Linked DNA regions of Drosophila melanogaster. The protein of the gene in region 1 interacts with the protein of each later gene in a pairwise test. Each region holds a gene or a part of one and is shown in the gene's direction. Other genes may lie near its edges. The genes, in order: ana2, Sas-6, Plp and tacc.

The links.
Region 2: the proteins of ana2 (region 1) and Sas-6 interact in a two-hybrid assay, tested with the Drosophila melanogaster proteins (2 studies listed by BioGRID).
Region 3: the proteins of ana2 (region 1) and Plp interact in a two-hybrid assay, tested with the Drosophila melanogaster proteins (one study listed by BioGRID).
Region 4: the proteins of ana2 (region 1) and tacc interact in a two-hybrid assay, tested with the Drosophila melanogaster proteins (one study listed by BioGRID).

The regions. Positions count from the first base shown.
Region 1 is NT_033778.4:8,897,849-8,902,225, reverse strand, and holds ana2 (anastral spindle 2), read left to right. Parts: upstream 1-2,014; 5' UTR 2,015-2,105; coding exon 2,106-2,859; intron 2,860-2,910; coding exon 2,911-3,419; 3' UTR 3,420-3,497; downstream 3,498-4,377. Other genes in the region: MrgBP (MRG/MORF4L binding protein), read left to right, coding at 919-1,333, 1,386-1,576; CG13751 (uncharacterized protein), read right to left, coding at 1,651-1,884; Sec31 (secretory 31), read right to left, coding at 3,649-3,837, 3,904-3,975, 4,053-4,361.
Region 2 is NT_033777.3:29,993,552-29,997,842, forward strand, and holds Sas-6 (spindle assembly abnormal 6), read left to right. Parts: upstream 1-1,805; 5' UTR 1,806-1,815; coding exon 1,816-1,989; intron 1,990-2,048; coding exon 2,049-2,900; intron 2,901-2,958; coding exon 2,959-3,292; intron 3,293-3,346; coding exon 3,347-3,405; 3' UTR 3,406-3,475; downstream 3,476-4,291. Other genes in the region: CG7903 (uncharacterized protein), read right to left, coding at 211-262, 322-537, 597-1,188, 1,242-1,527, 1,599-1,607; CG15525 (uncharacterized protein), read right to left, coding at 3,476-3,824, 3,887-4,023. UniProt on the Drosophila melanogaster protein: Central scaffolding component of the centrioles ensuring their 9-fold symmetry. Required for centrosome biogenesis and duplication. In ciliated neurons, required for centriole assembly but not necessary for cilium basal body and cilia function.
Region 3 is NT_037436.4:15,086,821-15,092,012, reverse strand, and holds the start of Plp (Pericentrin-like protein), read left to right. Parts: upstream 1-1,819; 5' UTR 1,820-2,194; coding exon 2,195-2,221; intron 2,222-3,459; exon of another isoform or gene 3,460-3,687; coding exon of another isoform or gene 3,688-3,702; intron 3,703-5,192. Other genes in the region: sstn (stepping stone), read left to right, coding at 1-659.
Region 4 is NT_033777.3:4,743,253-4,748,677, reverse strand, and holds the start of tacc (transforming acidic coiled-coil protein), read left to right. Parts: upstream 1-2,263; 5' UTR 2,264-2,503; coding exon 2,504-2,881; intron 2,882-4,012; coding exon 4,013-4,214; intron 4,215-4,495; coding exon 4,496-5,425.

The DNA.
Region 1 (4,377 bases):
GCCGAAGGGCTTGGTCTTTGATCTTTGGCTTTGGCTTATCTTATCGTATGATTCTGGGAATACTGGTTTGGATGGATCTTAATGGCTGGCTGGAAATAACAAGTTGGTTATATGTAGTTTAGATATCTCATTCTTTGTACAGGCTTCCCCATACGGGCACAACATCGAACAGGCGACACAAAGCTATAACATATGTGTACATTTTCGCGATTCTAGACAGAGATAGTTGGTAGATTGGTGTAGTTTAGTCAGTGTTTAGTACTAGGCGGGAAGTTAGGATAGCTAGATAGTGAGTCACACTACGCATTAACATATGTGTTATTTTGTGGCACATGTAAAGAACCGAACGCAGGCATTGGTTTCATCGATCGCATTGCTGATTAACTTTCCAGCCGAACTGGAAGCCTTGACGCGAACAAGTGCAAGGTTATTAACTGACCCCAAGTGGGCGTGGTGGTGGGCGGTGGGCGCTACTTGTGCCAGCACATGGAGAACCCGAGTTGTGTGCAAAAAACACTGCTCAACTCGTTGGGAACACCGAAAATTAGTTTTTTATGCAGAAATAGTGAAGGAGAACACACACACAAACACACGAAGGCGTACTGCGCCGTGTGGTTAGCAGAGGGATTATAGTGGAAAAGTGAAGTTTTCGACGGATGCACACACAACACATAACTATATTTGCACACTATTTGTTAATTACCAGCTCCGGCTTATATGTTTTTTTTTTTTTTAAATCTCGAACTCTACGGGCTAAAATCGAGCAAAGTTGACGAATAAAAGTGGATACACACCCAAACTAGTGATGTGCCGCGCGGCGATAGTTCGGGTGCGTGAGCGCACCCGCATACCATCGCTAATATTCGCGCAGAAAAACATACAATACGTATCAGTTTTTAGTTCCATGCGCTCTGCAAAATGATGGCCAAGGACAAGGGTCTGGCTGTGGCCGGAACGGCGGCCCCCTTACCGGCCGCCCTCGACCACGAGTGGTCCGCCGAGGAAGAGCTGCAGCTGTTCCATGCAATGGAAGGCCTGCGCCCGGTGGGCATCAACAAGCACTTCTACATGTCCTGCATTGTCCAGCGTCTGTCCAAGTCGCTGAACCGTGAAATGCCCAGCGAGCTGATCTGGCGCCACCTGGGCACCATGTACAAGCTGAAGGAACTGGACGATCTGGAGTCGCTGCCCTTTCCCAACGAGGAGCGCGAGTTCAGCCTGCCGGAGCAGGATTACGGAACGCTACAGACCAAAAAGACGGTGGAAGTGCATGCCAACGAGGAGGCTGCAGAGGCACAGTCGGCCCCTCCAACAGCAGAGACCAATGGCAAAGGTAGTTCGTTAGTTATCATCAGGATTCATTCACTTGTAATGTTGTTTTACAGCTCCACCTGCAACCAAAACGCCGGTACCGACGAATTCCACCAAGGACGGCGACAAAAAGCCCGTCGCCAAGCCCCAGGAGCAGCTGCCCAAGCGTCCGGCCAAGCGCACACGCGGCTCCATGTCCAACGAGTCCATCAGCCCCTCCACTACGCCGCCGCCGGTGCAGAGCAACAAGCGCCGTCGCATATAGGTGACCCCCGCCCGAAACTGACGATTGTTGATCCGTTTTAGCTCATTAGTTTTACTGTACTCTAATAAAAGGATTTATTCTTCGAAATCGTTGTCCTCCTCGTTGGAGCCGTTCCCGTTCTCCTGCGCCAGAACCTCGGTGGCCTGCATGTTTTCCAGGAGCGATTTGAGAAGGCGTCGGTTGAGATGGTCGGTCTGCGTCAGTTCCCGGACTGCCTGGGGCGGAGCATTCTCGTCTGCCGGTGCAGGGCTGTTCTCAGCTGGAGTCGGAGTCTCTGCCATGGCTTTGATGTGCTCCAAAACAGGCATTTTTCCCCCGAGAAATTTCAGCTTTTGCTATGACACACAGTCCGCTGGGTGACTCGTGCACTTGGAAACTTGGCTAAGTGTAGGGTACACTCGATAAAGTATCGATAAGTTGGCGTTTTACGTCAGCCCTAGTTCCACCCCTAAGTCGATCGACTTCCAATTGGACAGATTCTCCCGCTCGAATTTAATTTAATCGGCAAATATAAACAAATACGCTCCAAATGTTTGTTCCCGAAACGGAGGATATGCTGCCCAGACTAGCGCCCAGGCCGAGTGCAGCAGTGCCCATGGGCCACACCAATGAGATTATAGGGCCCACCGTGCCGGAGGTATCCATATTGTTTGGCCAGCCGCCGCAGGATCCGCAGATGCAGCCGCAGCAGCCAAATCATGCACATCAGGAGTCATCCCCTCGTGCTGCACCCACCTTCGCGTCCTGGAAGAAGCAAATGCTGCCCAGGGTCAACTTTTCGCCCATTTTGGCCACAGAACTGGGTCCTCGCACCGCTCCCAGCAGCAATAGTCCGTGCTCCTCGAAGGAATACCAAGTAATGCCCCGGGATCGCAACTATGCAAGCGATGCGCAGCAGACTACCAATCATATGAACTGCAATGCTGGTGGCTATAATGCCGAGCCCAAGCAACAGGCATATCAATCTAGGCGCTTGTCCAGCTCCTCCAACGCAGATGTCCTCACCATCTGTGCTGGCACACAGACCGATCCCTTCAACCCATCTCCTCCGCGAAAATCACTGCCCCAGGTTGTCTATTCCGACATCGACGTCAGCAACTTGGCCAATAAGAGTGATCTGGCGGCTCTGGTATCCCTTGTGGAGTCCGTGCGCCATGAGCAGCAACAGCTTCGGAATCTCTGCGAGATGATTTTGGAGCAACAGCAGCGAGCGAAACCCGAAGCCATTTCAAAAGCCAGCAGTACCACTGGCACCCAGTGCGATATTCTGACCACCAATCAAGGTGCGTACGTTGAATCTGTATGAAAAGAATCCAATAAAACATCCTTCCTAGCAGGTAGACGCTTGTCTCCCATTATGCAGGATTACATAGCAGAGGAGGAGGAACCATTGCCGCCGCCACAAGCACGAGTGATTCCTCAGTTTCCGTCTCCTCGACCACATCCGCCGATCGCCCAATCTACGGGCTACCGGGCCAATACGCCTCAGGCGAAGCGGATCCCTCAACTGGCCAAGCCCAACACCGAGAAGAGCATGGTGATGAACGAGCTGGCGCTGAAATACTTGCGCCAGCCAGTGGATGAGTTGATGAAGGATATGCGCCTGGGGGCGTCGCCGAAGTCCCCTAATCCAGAGCCACTGCGTCCGATCGACAACATAGGCCACGCGCAGAGTCCAAACGACATATCCAATGCTTCGTACAAGTATCTCAAAAAATACCGTCTGCTGCCCGAGGAGCAACTGGAGCCGGTGTGTCCACAATCTCCCATGGCGGCGACCGCCCCTTCGCCACATATTCAACTGGACTTGGAGAATATCAGGAACCAGCCGAAGCTGTTGTGAAAGCATGTACAATGTTCGTTTTGTTATTTATGCATATGTCTATTTGCGATTTAAGTGGAAATATATTTCAATACACGGAATAACGTTGACAATCTTCTGGTGATCCCAGCCTAAACTAACGTAGAGAACCACTCTTTGTATACAAAACATTTTGTGTTTGACATCGATATCTGAAGACACAATAAGAATATACGTTTAGTGAACTTGGCTGCGATCCGGCGACGGGGCTCTAACGCAGAACCAACTGTAGCTCGGATGCGGATTGCAGTAGGACCTTCAGTCCCTGCATAAAGCCCGCGCACTGCGCAAAGTCCGTTCCGAAGGCGATTTGCGTGTGGATTTCCATAGCATTGGCATAGTCGGATATTTGAATGTACTGAACTATTTGATTCAGATATTGCACCGTGGTGGGAGTGAGCTGGAATTAAAGTAAATGCCATTTGAGAATTGCAATTGAATCGCGATCTAAGGCAGCAGCTCTCACCTTTCCATCTCTCAGGCAGTCGTAGAGATTTTCGAGCCTCTTGACAACATCGACAAACTTTCGTTTTGTGCGCTTAAAATGTAAGAAAATTTATAAACAAAAGTAAGTTATTCCTTTTGTCTATATGGATCATTTATTAATAGACTTACCGGATCATTGGTTGCGCCCAGGCAGCGGTTCTTCAGCTCCTCCAGCACAGTCTGCAAGTAGATGTACTCCTCGGGGAGTGGTGGCTTCTCCTTGGGCGGCGCCGGTTGGCGCTGTTGCTGGATGGGCGCTGGCTGCTCGGTATAGCCAATGGTTTGCTGTTGTCCCTGCCAGTTTGGCTGCTGAATCCCAGGGGCTGGCTGCTGAGGCTGGAGATATGATTGCTGATGCTGCTGCTGCTGCTGGGGATTGTTGTTGAAGGCAGCCGGGTTGTAGTACGTATTGGGCACTCCTCCAAGTGGTGCTGCGTGCTGGAGAAAATAAATA
Region 2 (4,291 bases), on another chromosome or scaffold:
TAAATATCGAAACAATCTTAGACTACGAATAACAAATATACTGTTGATGTTGGTCTTAAAAGTACACGGCTATAGGACAAATTAAAAGTCGTCGTCGTTGGCTTAACTAAAAGATTCTGCGCGCGGAACAATGAAAAACAAAATTCGGCTATTACATTATTAAGTGGAGTACACGTGGACTGGCAAACATCGTTGCTGCATTGCACTTGCTTAAAATCTTCTATTGCCGCCCATATTTGGCCCGGGTCTGGGCCCGTTGAAGCTGGAAATGGCGATGATTGGGGTTAGTGGTTTTTATGCAGACGATATGAATGAACCTACCGGTTTCTTTGGCCTGGACCTCCGCCGCCACTGCCCAAGGGCGGGAACTCCGAGTGATATGCATTTATGCCATTCTGATTGTGATTTCTACCTCCTGAACCTCCGCGTTTGCTTGGGCCTCCTTGGGGACTGCTTGTCTCGTGACTGCTATCGCGTCTGTCATTGAATCCGCCTCCTCCTCCATTGAAAAATCCACGTCCTCCCGGTGGATTTCCTCTATATGGCAAAACAAGATATTATATATAATTTAGAACCCAATCTTATGCACAACTTACCCATTAGTCCCACGATTGCCAGAGTTCATTGGTCCATTGCCAAAGCGTCCGAAGCCCATTTGCTGCTGCTGATGCTCTACAGGCAGGGCAAATCCACGTCGATCCTGTCGCACATGGCTTGGACCTGGGCCGCCGCCGCCGGCCCTCTGATTTACGGATCCTCCTCCCCCGCTGCTGGAGCTGCCTCCCTGAAAGTCACTATTATTGCCTCCTCCCCTATATCCGCTGGTTGGACTGTTCTTAAAGTTTCTTCTGCCAGGCTGTGGTCCACTGTTGTCCCGCTGCTGAAACCGATTGCTGCCGAAGCGTCCCTCGTTGCCCGCGCTTCCACCGAACTTGCCTCCGCCTGCAAATTTGTTCCTAAAGCCCTGTCCCTGATTGGAAGACTCATTGTTCGGTGGTCCTTTCGAGTATGGAGCACTGCGCTGTTGTCTGTAGTTGGACTCGTTTCTCACGGGACCAAATTTGGCGGCCGAGGAGTTCGAGCTCCTTGGGCCTTCGTTGGAGAATCTGCCACCGACTTCCTCACGAAAGTTGCGCTTGAAGTTGGTATTGGATTCATGAGGTCTCTTGTCCGCCCCGCCACCTTGAACTGAGGATGATGAAATACTTAGATGCTGGATCTTTGGAGTGATCAAAGCTTACCCTGCGAGGGCCTGCGCCCCGGATTGTCCCCAGAGCCCGGCTGACCTCGACTGCCACCTCCCGGGCCGTACTTTGGCCTGCCCGCCTCCACCACAATGGGCTGGCCCTTGAAGATGGTGCCATTCAGCGCTGCGATGGCCGCCTCCGCCATGTCCGTGTTCTCCAGATGGACGAAGGCGCAGCGATTCATCACGTCGCACTCAACGACCGATCCATAGTTGGTGAACAGTCGACGCAGCTCCTCCGGCTTGCAGCGCGGCAGGCTGCCGACGAACACCTTGGCGGTCTGCAGGATAAAGCTAGCATTACTCCGGATTACTATGGACAATCCGGCGGCGCTGCCTCTTTCTTACGTACAGTATTCATGTATTTATTTTTCTCTACAACTTTTCGCTGTTTTTTTCTTTTATTGAAATGGAGATGGACAACTGTGCACCTGACCGGCAGTGTGACCAGCGATGGCTACTTCCACGGCCATATCGGTAGCTATCGACATCGATAGACCCAAGCCATCACTTTTGTTTACCAATTTTAAAATTTTAAAAATTAAGGTTTCTCACGAGCCTGATCTATCATGTGGCCTCCAGGGAGCGAGGATAGCTACTCCGCCAAAATGGACTATGGCAAGAGCGTGGTGAACATCCTGCCCAGCGTAGAGATGCTGGTGAACTTTAATGGCGAAATGACGCGGTCTAGCAAACGGTCATGTCTACTGTACGCGGAGAGAGTGGACTTCAAGGAGCTGCTGGTAAATATGCTTGTCAAGACCTCCTCCGATCAAATTTCAATACATCCTCTGCCCCACAGCAACTCCGATTAACGGAGAAGTCCGATCAACGGCGCATGTACATCACCACAGTGGACAGCGCCTCCTTTCAGGATCTTAAACAGGATCAGTCGCTGAATGTGTCATTCTCTGGGTTCATTGACAATGTAGTGCGCATGCTGAAGGACTGCCAGTCGGGTAAACTGGAGCTGCACCTGACCACACGGGATCAGAACCTTTCATCCGGCAGGGAGGTCCACGACTATTATCTTCAGTTTGTTGAAATTCGGTCCTTTAAGAACCTAGTTCACCTTAGCCTGCCTTGTCGTTCTGCTCCCTTGAACACCGTACTCTTCTACATAAACAGCATGCTGGAAGCCTCCCACAAAAAGCAATATATTCTCGAGCAAAGTATGCAGCAAATGCAGGCTGAAATCAACGCACAACGCGCGCATGCGGAAAGGTTGACCACGGAAAACACAAATATCAGGGAAGCTTTGGCCGAAAATACTCGCATCTTAGAGGAAAAGCATGCTGCCGAGGTCCATCAATACCAGGAAAAACTGTCCAAAATAAACGAGCAGCGCAGCAATGAGCTGGAGAGAAATCGTAGAGCGATCTCCGGCTTTCAGGCCCAATTGGACAAGGCTTCGTTGGAGAAAGCAGAACTAAAGTCGGCCCAAGAGCAGGCCGAGAAACGATGTCAAACCCTGTCCGAGGAGTTGTCCTGTTGCAAAGCCAGAGTGTGCACCCTAAAAGAGCAAAATGACAAACTGCACGGGGATGTGGCCAATATCAGGAAGCATGAACGCAAGTTGGAGTACAAAATCGAGGACCTCAAGCAGCACACTGTCGAGCTGCAGGAACATATTCAAAAGGGAAACAAAGAGAAGGTATGTGTATAAAAAGAATAATGCACATCAGAAGAGTATATCCCTTTTAATTTTGCAGGCCAACATAGCCGCTGAACTGGAGGCCGAGAAGAAGATCCTGCACACCAAGCGCCAGGCTTTGGAAATGGCCTCCGAGGAGATCTCCAAGGCCAACCAGATAATCGTTAAACAAAGCCAGGAGCTGCTCAACCTCAAAAAGACCATTGCCTGGCGCACAGAGGTGGCTCTGCAGCAAGAGAAGGCGGTTCAGGCCAAGGAGAGCCTACTATCCCTGCGGGAGAATGAGCTGCGCGAGGCTCGAATAACTATTGAAAAACTGAGGGAGGAAATCCCCCAGCAACTGCAATCCATGCGTAACTTTGCCCAGGGACTGGAGCAGAAGTATTCCAAACGTAAGCTGAGACCCCAATCTTTAAGTGTACCTACTTACAACTTGCTCTTTTCAGAAATCCTCATTCTAAAAGAACGGCTTGCAATACCCACGGGCAAAGAAAATCGGCGATAGTTTTACTTATTGTTAATGCATTTTTTCGTTTTTTGTACCAGTTTAGTAAAGTTAGTTGTATTATTCAGCTCTAGTCATAATCCTCCTGAACACTTTCACCTGCATGAGCCGTGGCCACATTCACCGCTTGGCTGATATCCTCCATTTGGTTCAGTTTCAGTCGCTCACGGATGAGTTCAGCAATAGCTTTCTGGGTACGTCGTTCCAGTCGCTCCAACTTTTTGCTGGCATCCCGCTTCAGATCCCAGTCGGGTTTTCGGGGAGCCAGGTTGGTTATGTCAATCTCATCTATCACCATGGGCTGCTGGAGCAGACTCAATTGATCCTCCACAGCTGATTCTATGTTGCCCGTGGGTTCCTGTGCTAGAATCTCGCCATCGGTGGTCTCATTCTGGGGCTTGTAGCTGCGGAAAACTGGTCTGCAAAGATATATGAAACTGGTTTATAGGGATTCATAATAGCATTTCATTGTATTGCTGACTTGGGTAACTTTTCAATGGACTCGGCAGCGTCTCCTCCTTTGTTTTGCACTTGTTCCCGGAGTTTTTGCAGACGCTCCTTGCGTTTTAGAGATTCTTGTGTCAGCTTGCCGACGCCATTGTTGTCCATCATGCCCATGTGAAGTTTGTTCTCAAGATAATACAATTAATTTAAATTTGAGTCTGGGGTCTTTACGTTTATTTATTATTGTTATGTTTCTTGTTCTTCCCATACATATATCGTATATCGATTACAATCGCGTTCGTTACCAGCTTGGAATTATGCAGGTATGAACTATTATTTTACAACAAGATATTTGTTGTTATACAAGATTCGATTTTATTTTATTTATTACAATTTAAGATTAAGGAGGCGTATCAAGATATTAAAAATACATAATTACTTT
Region 3 (5,192 bases), on another chromosome or scaffold:
TCAGGCAGATGGATTCACAGCCCCACAGTCCAGCTGGGAGTAGTAATGGGAGTAGTAATCCCGGCGCAGCTGCCATGGTTTCAAGTAAACCCCGCGCTAAGCTCTCCTCGCAGTCCATGTCGGTAGCGGGTCGTCACTATTCCATGTCCAACCAGCGACCGACTCCGAATTATCCCAGTGCCAGCTATGCGGTGAATACCAGTTCGAAAGCCCTGCTAAGTCAATCGACTTCGTATCTCAATGCAATGGAGCAAACTTTGGGGATATCGGTATCGTATCCGCTGGAACCTCTGGACATACCAGCACTGCGAAACTTACCACCCAAGCCAAGTCAAATGCAGCAGCCAACGCCGCCGCCCAGACCGCCACCCGCAAATCAGGCTCATACTCAGAACCAGAACCTAAGTCACAGTGGTAATGGCAGTTCAAGCGGACTTGCTCATGGGAATGCTGTCCAAACAGCGCTTGTGTCACCGCCAGTAACAGTGGCCACAGCCAGTTTATCGCCGGAAATTCGCATCGAGTCGCCCAAAAACATGACCGTAGTTCAGCAGGCCACTTTCCAGCCGTACAAGGAAGTGACGAAACCCTTCGAGATGTCCGATTTCTACAAATACTCCACCAAGTTTAAGCAAAAGGAGGGCGGAAATCCTAATTGACCTATAAGGTTGTACGGAATTCTCATGCACTTTCACCTTTTAATGTGATTAACTAAACTAATTTTGTAGCACTGAGAAACTACAAAGCAAAAGCAGCTCAAACTATTGGACTCCTTTCGAATTTTAAGTTCGTTAGCCAAATTATTTAGGATCAAGAAAATAACAATGCTCAAAAGATCTGCCAAATTGAAAACTGACGTATTGAAAGCAATTTATCGAACGACATTCAAATTTTGTATTGAATTTTTAAAGTACAAAAAACACAGGACAATATTATCCCCGAGGGGGACAGAAATCGCCTTACAACAGGATGCCTAGAAAATATGGAAATATTTTATATAGTTAACAGCATTTATAAACAAATAACTGACTAGCTAACTAATAAGTGTATAAAGGATATTTACCCTAATCGAATGATATTTTTATATGAATATACCGATTGGATACTGATATATTCACCGAGTTTTCTTAAGACTAACTACCGACAAGCAATAACAAATAGATAAAAATAAATATTTTATATTAAAATATATGCGAGTGCGTTTTTATTGATATTTAAGCATTCAAATATTTCGTTGAACTTCCAATATTTTTCTCAAAACATTATTAATGCTCTTGTAGCATTTCAGATTTTTTGAATAATTGAAATGAAAAGAAAGCTTTATATTTCCCTAGCCTATAAATAAATGTCTCATTTATACCCATAAATGTGTTCTCACTTCCTTAAATCATTCCTTATCGAATATATCTTGTAGTTCCTTAATCTCTGGTTAAAACTTATTTATAGAACAACCGATAAAACTTAATTACTTTCCTCCCCTTTATCTCTCGGATTTCTCTTTGTTTCTCTCGCGATCTGGTAGTAGTACATTGAATTCTCTCTTTTGGACTCTCCCCAACTCAATGCCACTGCAACAAATTTTGTTTACGATTGATTATTTTTAAACAATCTCTTGTTGTGCTTCACTGAGCATTACAGTATCTGGATGGGGAGAAAAAGAGCGTGGATATCCCCCGATACCCCAAAAATATAAAGACTCTTCGCAATGGATTTGGTTCTCAGTTGCATCGCGCTCGCTATTACGTGCAACTGTTTCAGATCGGTTGCACTATTGGTTTTTTTTTGTTTTTAAGTTTCAAATTTGTCGGTTCTTTCTCCCTCGAGGAGCATTGAAAATCACATAATGATAAATTAAGAGTTCACGCTTTAAGTAGCTAGTTTCCCCCATTGTGTTGTCTTCGTGTTAAACTTTAAATTAAAAAAATATCAAATTTTACGTAAAGTCTCCAACCTAACCTACAAAATTATTCGGTTCGTTGCATTCGTCTGTGTTTGTAAGCAAGTCAACCCGAAAAAATTCTAAAATATAGTGTCATCAAAACCACTACGTAAAAACATCAACAAGAAAATGGATCGCATTTGGGCCACATCTAGAATGCCTATAGATATAGCCAACTGACAGGCGCAAGTGTCAACAAAGGCGGCCAAAAAACAGGGAATAGGCCATAAATTATTTGGTTCAAGTGCAGTCACCATGAATCTGTACACTATATACGATTGGGTAAGCCAAACAATCAGGGGTATCCATTAAAGTATTAACCCATTTGGGAGCCGAACATCCATCATCTGTGCTCTCGGATTGTGCATAAAATCCACAAAATGTGGGTTGAATGCGCCTTGATATGTGTGTTTTCAATTCATTACGATCCACAAACAGAACATGTTGTTTTTCAAGTGTGTTTACAAATGAAATCGAAATTGAATGCGCCTTTGAACTTTCGATTAGAAGACCACAAGGCCCTTCCGAAATCTGTAAACAATCTACAGTGAAAAATACCCAACGGATTAGGAATTTTAAATAATATTTTATTTTTTAAATAAGTATTATATTTTATATCATTGAATAGCATACTTTTTATTATTATAGAGCAACTTTTTAAGTGAAAATTATAATTGAATTGTCCACATTATGCGGTTTTAATTGCTTTGTTAAATAACTAATACATTTATTAGTGAATCTTGGCTACTGTTTCCCTGTTTATTATAAACATCAATATTCATATTTTTGAAAAAATGTCTCGCTACAATAACCGATTCGCTTATCGATTTTGTTGAGGAAAGAATGTTTCTGCAACTTGTTGCTGAATAAATCTAATACATGTACCGCAATACGATGAAAATTTTTGGATAATGTATACGAAAATGATCAAAAATTTTTAATATTCATCGAAATGATTAATGGCTCGAATTTCTTATATTAAATTGTTATTGTATACAAATTTTAAAATAAAATTTGAACTTCAAGTTTTTAAACTTAACTTAAAATGTTTTATGATGATTATAGAATAATTATAAATTACTAACTATAAAAAATGAAATATAACAGTTTTTGAGGGACATTAATTCTGATTATAATACTAATTCTAAGTACTTATATATATAGCTACTTCAGTATCAATCGCAATCGCGAATCGTAAAACAATAGTTCTAAATGCTTTTAAAACTACTCTTTTGCATTTATCACCATCTTCCAAACAAATTTATGTTCCACACACACATTTTGTTTATAAATAAAAAATGGGAGCGAACATTCGGTGCACGGAACCGCTTGGAACCGCGTTGCAAATTTCCGCGGCACTCGCTCTCAATCGCTCGGCCTCTCCCGTGGCTGCTCTTTTCCAACGCTTTTCTTTTGATTTTCCTCGGATTGAGTGACTGATTTCAATTGAATGTCTCTTCGGGCGTTTTATTTATAAAAGAACCTGCACTGCAGGCGGTCGCGTCGTCGTTTTTCGGTTTTCCGCACATTTATAGCTCTATAAAGATAAGAGTGCAGTGTCAGTGCCTGTGATCCCATAAAATTGTTTAAAAAAATCTACGAAACATTTGCATATACGTAGAAGTTTGCACAATGTAACCCTCAATAGCCATTGTCGATATATGGACTTTTTAAGTGATTGTAAATTGCATTTAATTGAGATAACTTCTTCATCGCTGAATTGAATCGAATGAGTGGCGGGCAGCGAAATGGGGAAATTGCATGTGAGTTCAGTTATTGTCCGCAATGTGATCTTTAGCATCGCCCAGTGACATTTGCATCACTCGCCAGCCAAAGTGTGTTAATATCATTCGAAACCGCATGATAATGAACCAAATTAGTGGATTTTTTTTGCATTGCAGTGTACTTAGAGAAAATTATACAGTATTTACCATATTTTCTATAAATTTAGTTACGATACGATCTCATTCTTAATTGTTCTTGAATATTATTTATTAGAATTACTATTTGAAAGAATAATGCTGTAAAAGATTTGGTTTGTAAATCAAATAAAATGCGGGTATAGGATATAAAGCAATTCATCATCTACTTCACAATCATATAAATTGTGTGTTCATATGTAAATTTTTATATAAAATATGAAAATGTTAAATGCAAGCGTTTAAGAATTTATATTAAACTAAACCCTTTAAATGAAATAACCTTTCTTCATAGCAACGCAAAAGAAAATCCTTTCTCCAATCCGAATTTATTTTTGTCCAACATATTTCACTGTCAATTCTGCGCCAGGCAAAGCTATTAATTTAATCATTTTCGCCAATATGCGTGCCATTATTGAGGGTTTATCGACAATATCTTGTGGAAAATCAAAGGAAAGGCGTCAGCGCCATTAACAGAGACGTTGGGCTAGGTCCTTCGCCCCTTTTCCCGTTCCAAAGGGGAGTGGCATTGTTGTTATTAGTCGCCGAAGTGCAAAAACCTCAGACGATCCAACTGAAATGTGTGTCACACCCAAACAACGGCCCACAAAAGAGGTCCAAACTATAGCAACAAATTGAAATGTTTGCAAGGAATGTAAAAGACTTTCGTTTTCGTTTTTCACGCACACTCAAAGAAAATCCGTTGTCATGGTTATAGGTGCAAACTTGTTATCCCGATATCCTTATCGCTGTGCTGGTACTTCCTGAATGTGTTGTTGTTGTCTTTGTCCTGACAAGTTCAAGGACGTTCAAACCACCATGTGGCCGGGAATTGGATAACTTTTTCACAAGCATTTTCCGCTAATATTGTGAAAACTTTGTCAAGCGTTACGGCCTGACCCACATGGCGTATGTGTAATATGGAAAATATATTTTTCAGTCGTTCAAAATACAGTACGGACTTGAATTGTATGTAAATTACAATTTAAACTTAATATAAATGGGAAATAACTCTTTTTTTTTTAAAGCAAATATTGCAATAAATATATTTTAAATAAAATTTAAAAAGTTTGCATATATGTAAGCCGACATTTACTGTATGATCTACGATATAAGTTGGAAAAGGCTTATTATTCAAACGTTGAATGCATCGCCTTGGCACATCGCTATATATGCATGCGATCTAATTAGATTTCCATCTGTGAAAAATGTAATTGGAAAATGCTTAAATATTTCCTCACTCGATTGGGGAACGGATGCATGTGTGGCACACGTTTCAAACACCTTCAGACATATAGATCACTCGAGTGGACAGAGACGTCTTTCTTAATTAA
Region 4 (5,425 bases), on another chromosome or scaffold:
GGTTATGTACTTTGTACATATGTGTGGGTATGCTGCGTCGCAGGCTGTTCTGCTATTTTCTTTATTCGCAATTGTTCATCGTAAATACATATGTACATATAAATTTCCATTATTCGCTGTTCCTATTAGCTCTGAGGCAGCTGTCGCGAACGAGAGTTCTCTAGTTGATCGGTGTCCGCCGGACATTGTCCATCCCAGGTGACCAGTTTCCCCGATCTGCCATAGCCATAGGAGAATGGGCAATAAGCCGGGCAAGACACGGAAACCGAGGGCCTTGTCCGGGAAAATTACCATAAAGGCGGACGACGGACGAGGGAATCGGGTATGCCAAGGGAAAATCAAAAGTTACTTATTCTTCCTTCTATATATTTGTCTCTTGAAATTTCCACTCTCCAGATGGTGCACTTTCCATTTAAAAATGCTAGTGTGTATCGCTATTATGCCAATAAATCAGTTGGCGGCTAACGGCTGCAAAATGTCAGTGCCTAATGCGGTTTACAGTCCAAAAAACGCCCATCTGAGGATTTAAGTTTGACTAAATGTCATTTAACTCCATCTTCCCTTTTGCCAACAAAAATGCTCATTATAAAGGATCTACAGATGGTTTCCACCCCTTTCCACATTTGCCTATTTTTAGATCAGTTTATAGTTGGCTCTTCCTCAATATTTGTTTTCTTTTATTTTCCTGAGTTCTATTGGATATTCGAATTGCAGCTTAAGGTTCAAATTCCACTTGTATTCTATTCTATTGTATTTATTGTGTTTTCTGAAATCAGTATACTCATTTGTGGCCACTATTTGGATTCCACTCAAGGCTTATATGCTTCAACAAACTACATTGGTTTTAAATTCACCCTGAGCCGGGAACCGTGTGATATCTTGTCACCTGTCGCGCGCTGCTTGGATAACGCTAGAGCCAACATCTAACTATTCCCCCCTCGTCAAGGCCCATCGTGTGGGATTCCGTTTCATTGCTTACATTTTCTCGCCAAACATGCAAAGTCAGCCGTTGGGCAATGTGGAGCTTGCAGATAGTGCGCCATGATGCGCAACAATGGCTGTGGGATTGCATGTCATCTGGGACCCACCAGGCCTCTACACTTGAAACAATGTGATGAGCCAAATCAACATATTTATTATTTTAGAGCACTCTACTTGCCTCTACTGGTATATCTTTAAGAGAAAGCATTTTGCAAATAAGACTGTTCTCCAAAAATCCTATGGAAAATGTGCAAAATAATTCTGTCATCAAAGCGTTGAATTTGCACCAAGTTCCTCCAGTTGATTTGCGAAGACAATATAAGCAGTCGGCGGTCGCCGTATTCTCGTATCCCATTTATTTATCCCCTTCTTTAAGTGTTTCGACTTATTTGCGGTGTCTTGCACTTTCACTGCTGCCTTTCAGTCTGAATTTCGTCTGAGGCCTGTATAGTTTTTCAGTTTTTCACTGCAGTTCAGTCAAAAAGGTTGTCAACTTGAGCCCGCTCTTTTGACATTATTATTTTATAAATGTTGCCCACGACCTCGACCGTTTCCAAAATGTATTTCATATATCTAAGAGAAGTGTGTTTAAATGGATCAAGTGTGTGTTGCCCTCTAGCTTCATAAAACCCAATATATTTTCTCGAAATAGAAAAGGGTAACTATTCCAACCATAGAAAGGATAAGATTTCATCTTCAGAATCACCAGCCAAGTCTATCTGGCCACTAAGACTTATATTATTTATATGCTAATAAAATCTTTGAAGGGTATATTTCTCGTAGCTCCAAAAGCTGAGTAATGGGTAGTCGAGAAAAACGACTGAGTTCTCTGTTGTTTTGATTTAATTTTCATTAGGAATATTTGTGCTTAAAAGTTCAGAGTATAACTTATCGGAACTATTTCAAGACTAAGGATGTGCTAAATAAATGTTTTAAGTTGGTATGAAATCCATAATGTGTAATATACAAAGGTGTCTCTAGCCGCCGTCTCACATGTGAAAACATATGGCAGTATTATAAATGGAAGAGAGGACCGTGCTGATAAGGGGAGAACGCCATGTGGGCTAAAACGATCCAAACATGAAGACATACGAAAACATCCGGATCGTTATGTGGATGCCATTCAAACTATTCGTTCTCTCACTCGGTCTGTCGATCCCCCGCACTCTCGCCGTGCTCTAAGTATTTGTGCATGTGTGACGCTGAGCAGAGCAAAGCAAATTGAAAACGAAAATATTTTTAAATTGATTTTAAAGGCAGACATGATCGGGAGGCAGTGAGAACCGCACGCGACAACGGGCCGTGAGAAACCCGGAGGTATTACCCAATATAATGGAAGCGGAAAATCACAGTAAAGATTTTACCGAGTAGGCGAGCCCAAATCTGTGTCACAACAAAAACCACAAAAAAAAAAAAAAAAAAAAAACACTAAAGACCAAACTAAGGAACTCTATAGATCCATTATTTTTTGGAGCCAAGTGAACCGTATCGCGTCTCAGGAGTTAATCGTGCGTAGAGCGGCATGGATTTCCTCGCGAATATCATCAAAAGACCCAAAAGCATCGCCACCACTGGCATCAGCACCAATCAGCCAACGACAATGGAAGCCCTAGAAGCTGCTAGTCCCGCTGATGAATGTTCTACACCAAGGGATAAGGGAGGAGTTACACTTGTATCCGCGCACCTGGACTCGTTACTAGAGTCCGCCTCTGAGGAGCTGCAACGACTGGAGGGAAAGCACTGTGAACTATTTATGGAATCCATCTCGAACCCACTCCCAGCCCCCGAGGACAGCACTGATAGTAGAGAAGAAATACAGAAATTTCTAAGCGAAATAAACTTCAATCTGAACCAAGTGAGTGCTAACGAAATGGAGCACTTGCAAGCCATGAGTGGCGAGGTATGTCTGAAAGAATTAGGACTATCTTTTTATGTGCATCCCTGGGGGGGGGGGGGGGGGTGTTCTAGTATTAGGCAAACTGCATAAATCTACACATTGGAATTTTTTTGTAATGTCCCAATGTGTTTTGCCGATTGCATATATAGTATTTATGCGGTTCCACTTGGTTTTGTCACCTTATTGCGTTGCAGAAAATATTATTTTAAATAGGGTTGTATCTAGCCATTAGCTTGGGCTAATATTCCGCAGGAATCTGCTTCCCATTACCACTCAAATTTGAGCCCATTGTCAAAAAATTAAAATTAAAATACTTATCAATAAAATCGAAACGGAGAAATTGGTCTAATGCCAGAATTTTCCTAATTTTTAGTGTCTCGCTCATAAGCCGGTCACCACTCGCCTTATTCTTCTGACTTTAACCTTGCAGCACCCATTATACTGCAATGCGCTCTAATTAAATTCCGCGTGTAGAACGATGCTCCCAAACCTAAATAGACATTAAACATGGCGGCCGGCCGCATTGAATCCGCGGCATGTTTATTTCGCACTGCACAAAAGCTGACGTCGACCCAGTTCCACGTCCATCTCCCCACCTTTTGCTCCTCAATCCGTTTCGTTGCCACCCTCCCAAACATATGCCATATACCCGATTTTTACGTCTTGGCTGGCTTTTTAATTAATGACATTTGCTTTTGTTGACTGACCGACTGCGACAAACATTTGAAATGTATGTCTTTTTTAAGCGTGAATTGAAGGCATCTGTATCATATGGGCTACATTAGATGAGATTGAAGTTTTTCAAATGAAGATCATAATTTCATAATAATGTATTCTTTTGTATATGATAATAACTAAAAATGGGGGTCCTATGCCTTTGTATAATTTCTTGGCAATGGGAAAATACGGGAAAAGTCATCCCAAATGCGATTTATTTATGCCAACTGTGGTGGGGCTCTTGCCTTTTTGTGTGTCAAAAATTCTTAATTAAATGACCAACCAGCTGCTACTCGTGATCATCTTTAAAACCCCATTCCCAACATCGGTTGTTCACGGTTTAAAACTATTCGGATCATGACCGCGATGTACATCTTGATAACTATATTCTTAAATTTTGCATCTCTTGTTTGGCAGCTGAGTCCGTTGGCGGTGAAGCCCAGTCCCAAGCCAACGAGCATGGATCAACAGAAGGCAATGGCGGCAGCTCTGGGGCATCAGACGGCGGTACCCGGTGGACTTAAGCCAGAAGACGACCTCGTTCCAAAGTTTGGAGGTCTTCCCGAGTTCGATGAGACGCAAATACCGGAACTAGCTCCTTTAAGTACCGATATGGATAGTGAGTAAATCTTGTTTGTGTAACCCAGAAATCTCTTAAGGTAGAAAAATTATATTGATGTACAAAAGAATTCCATACGAAATCCGCCAGAAGAGCGAAGTAATTTCTTCTATTTCAATACCGTCATTTATACAAAGGAAAGGGCCAGCTGGGGAAAATAAATCATTTCCAAGTTTATGTATAAATTTCTCGTTGTATTAATTATATAAATAAATTTCTTATATGTATTTAATTATTATTAAAACGAATTGATTAATATATCGCATTCATTCCTCCCTTAGCTCAACTGAAATCCAACCATTCGGATTCGGATGTTTTTGTCGAGTGTTTATCGCTTCATAGCGAGCGCTACACCGGAGATCGATCGGAGTTAGAGGCATATTCAAGTGCCCTTAATGATGTTTTGGAGCAGCAGCTGTCCATGACCTCAGTTTCTACACTGGGAGCTGAATTCAACGATCCTTTGGCAGTTAGCCAGCACAACAACGTCAGCTATGAAGCCATGGATGTGGATGACCTAAACGAAACCATGGAAATGTTAAAGGACGTCTTGAATGCGGAAGACCGTCATCTTATGCAAACGCATATTCTCAGCGTAACCCAGTCAAAACCAGAGAATAATTTTGTGCACTATCATCCAAATCAGGAGCAAAATAGGGTTGAACTAGACCAGTTAGCCAAACACTCTAAACCCAATAGTGATGCAAAGGAATCAGAATCATTGGTAGAATCAGTACTGTCTGAGGAGTCTGGTACACAATCCTTTGAGCCGAAGCTCACCTTATCTGCCTTGGACTCTACGAAAGACTTAGCTAAGCATCAAGAGGAAATGCAAACAAATACAAAAGATATATTTCAGAAAGAGAAGCACCACCCGGTCAGTAGTGCTCAGGTGAAGGACGCACAAAATCCTAAGGAGCCTGAAAAGGCCTTAAATCTCAAAGAGGCTTCTTCAGAACTGTCCACAAAATCAGCAAAATCTCTAGAATACCCTAATCAAGAGAAGCAATTTTCGGTGGCAGTAGAATCAATGGAGAGACCATGCACTGCCATCAGCCTTGAGCAAAATGCATCCCCAGCTATGGAGGCAACTGAAGACAGGACTGTGGAGGAGCTTGATCAAATGGATGTGGATGAATCCATGAAAGTGGATGATGCCACAGTGCTTAACTCATGTCGGCAGGAGCAAATTAATGCTCATTCTCCCGTTT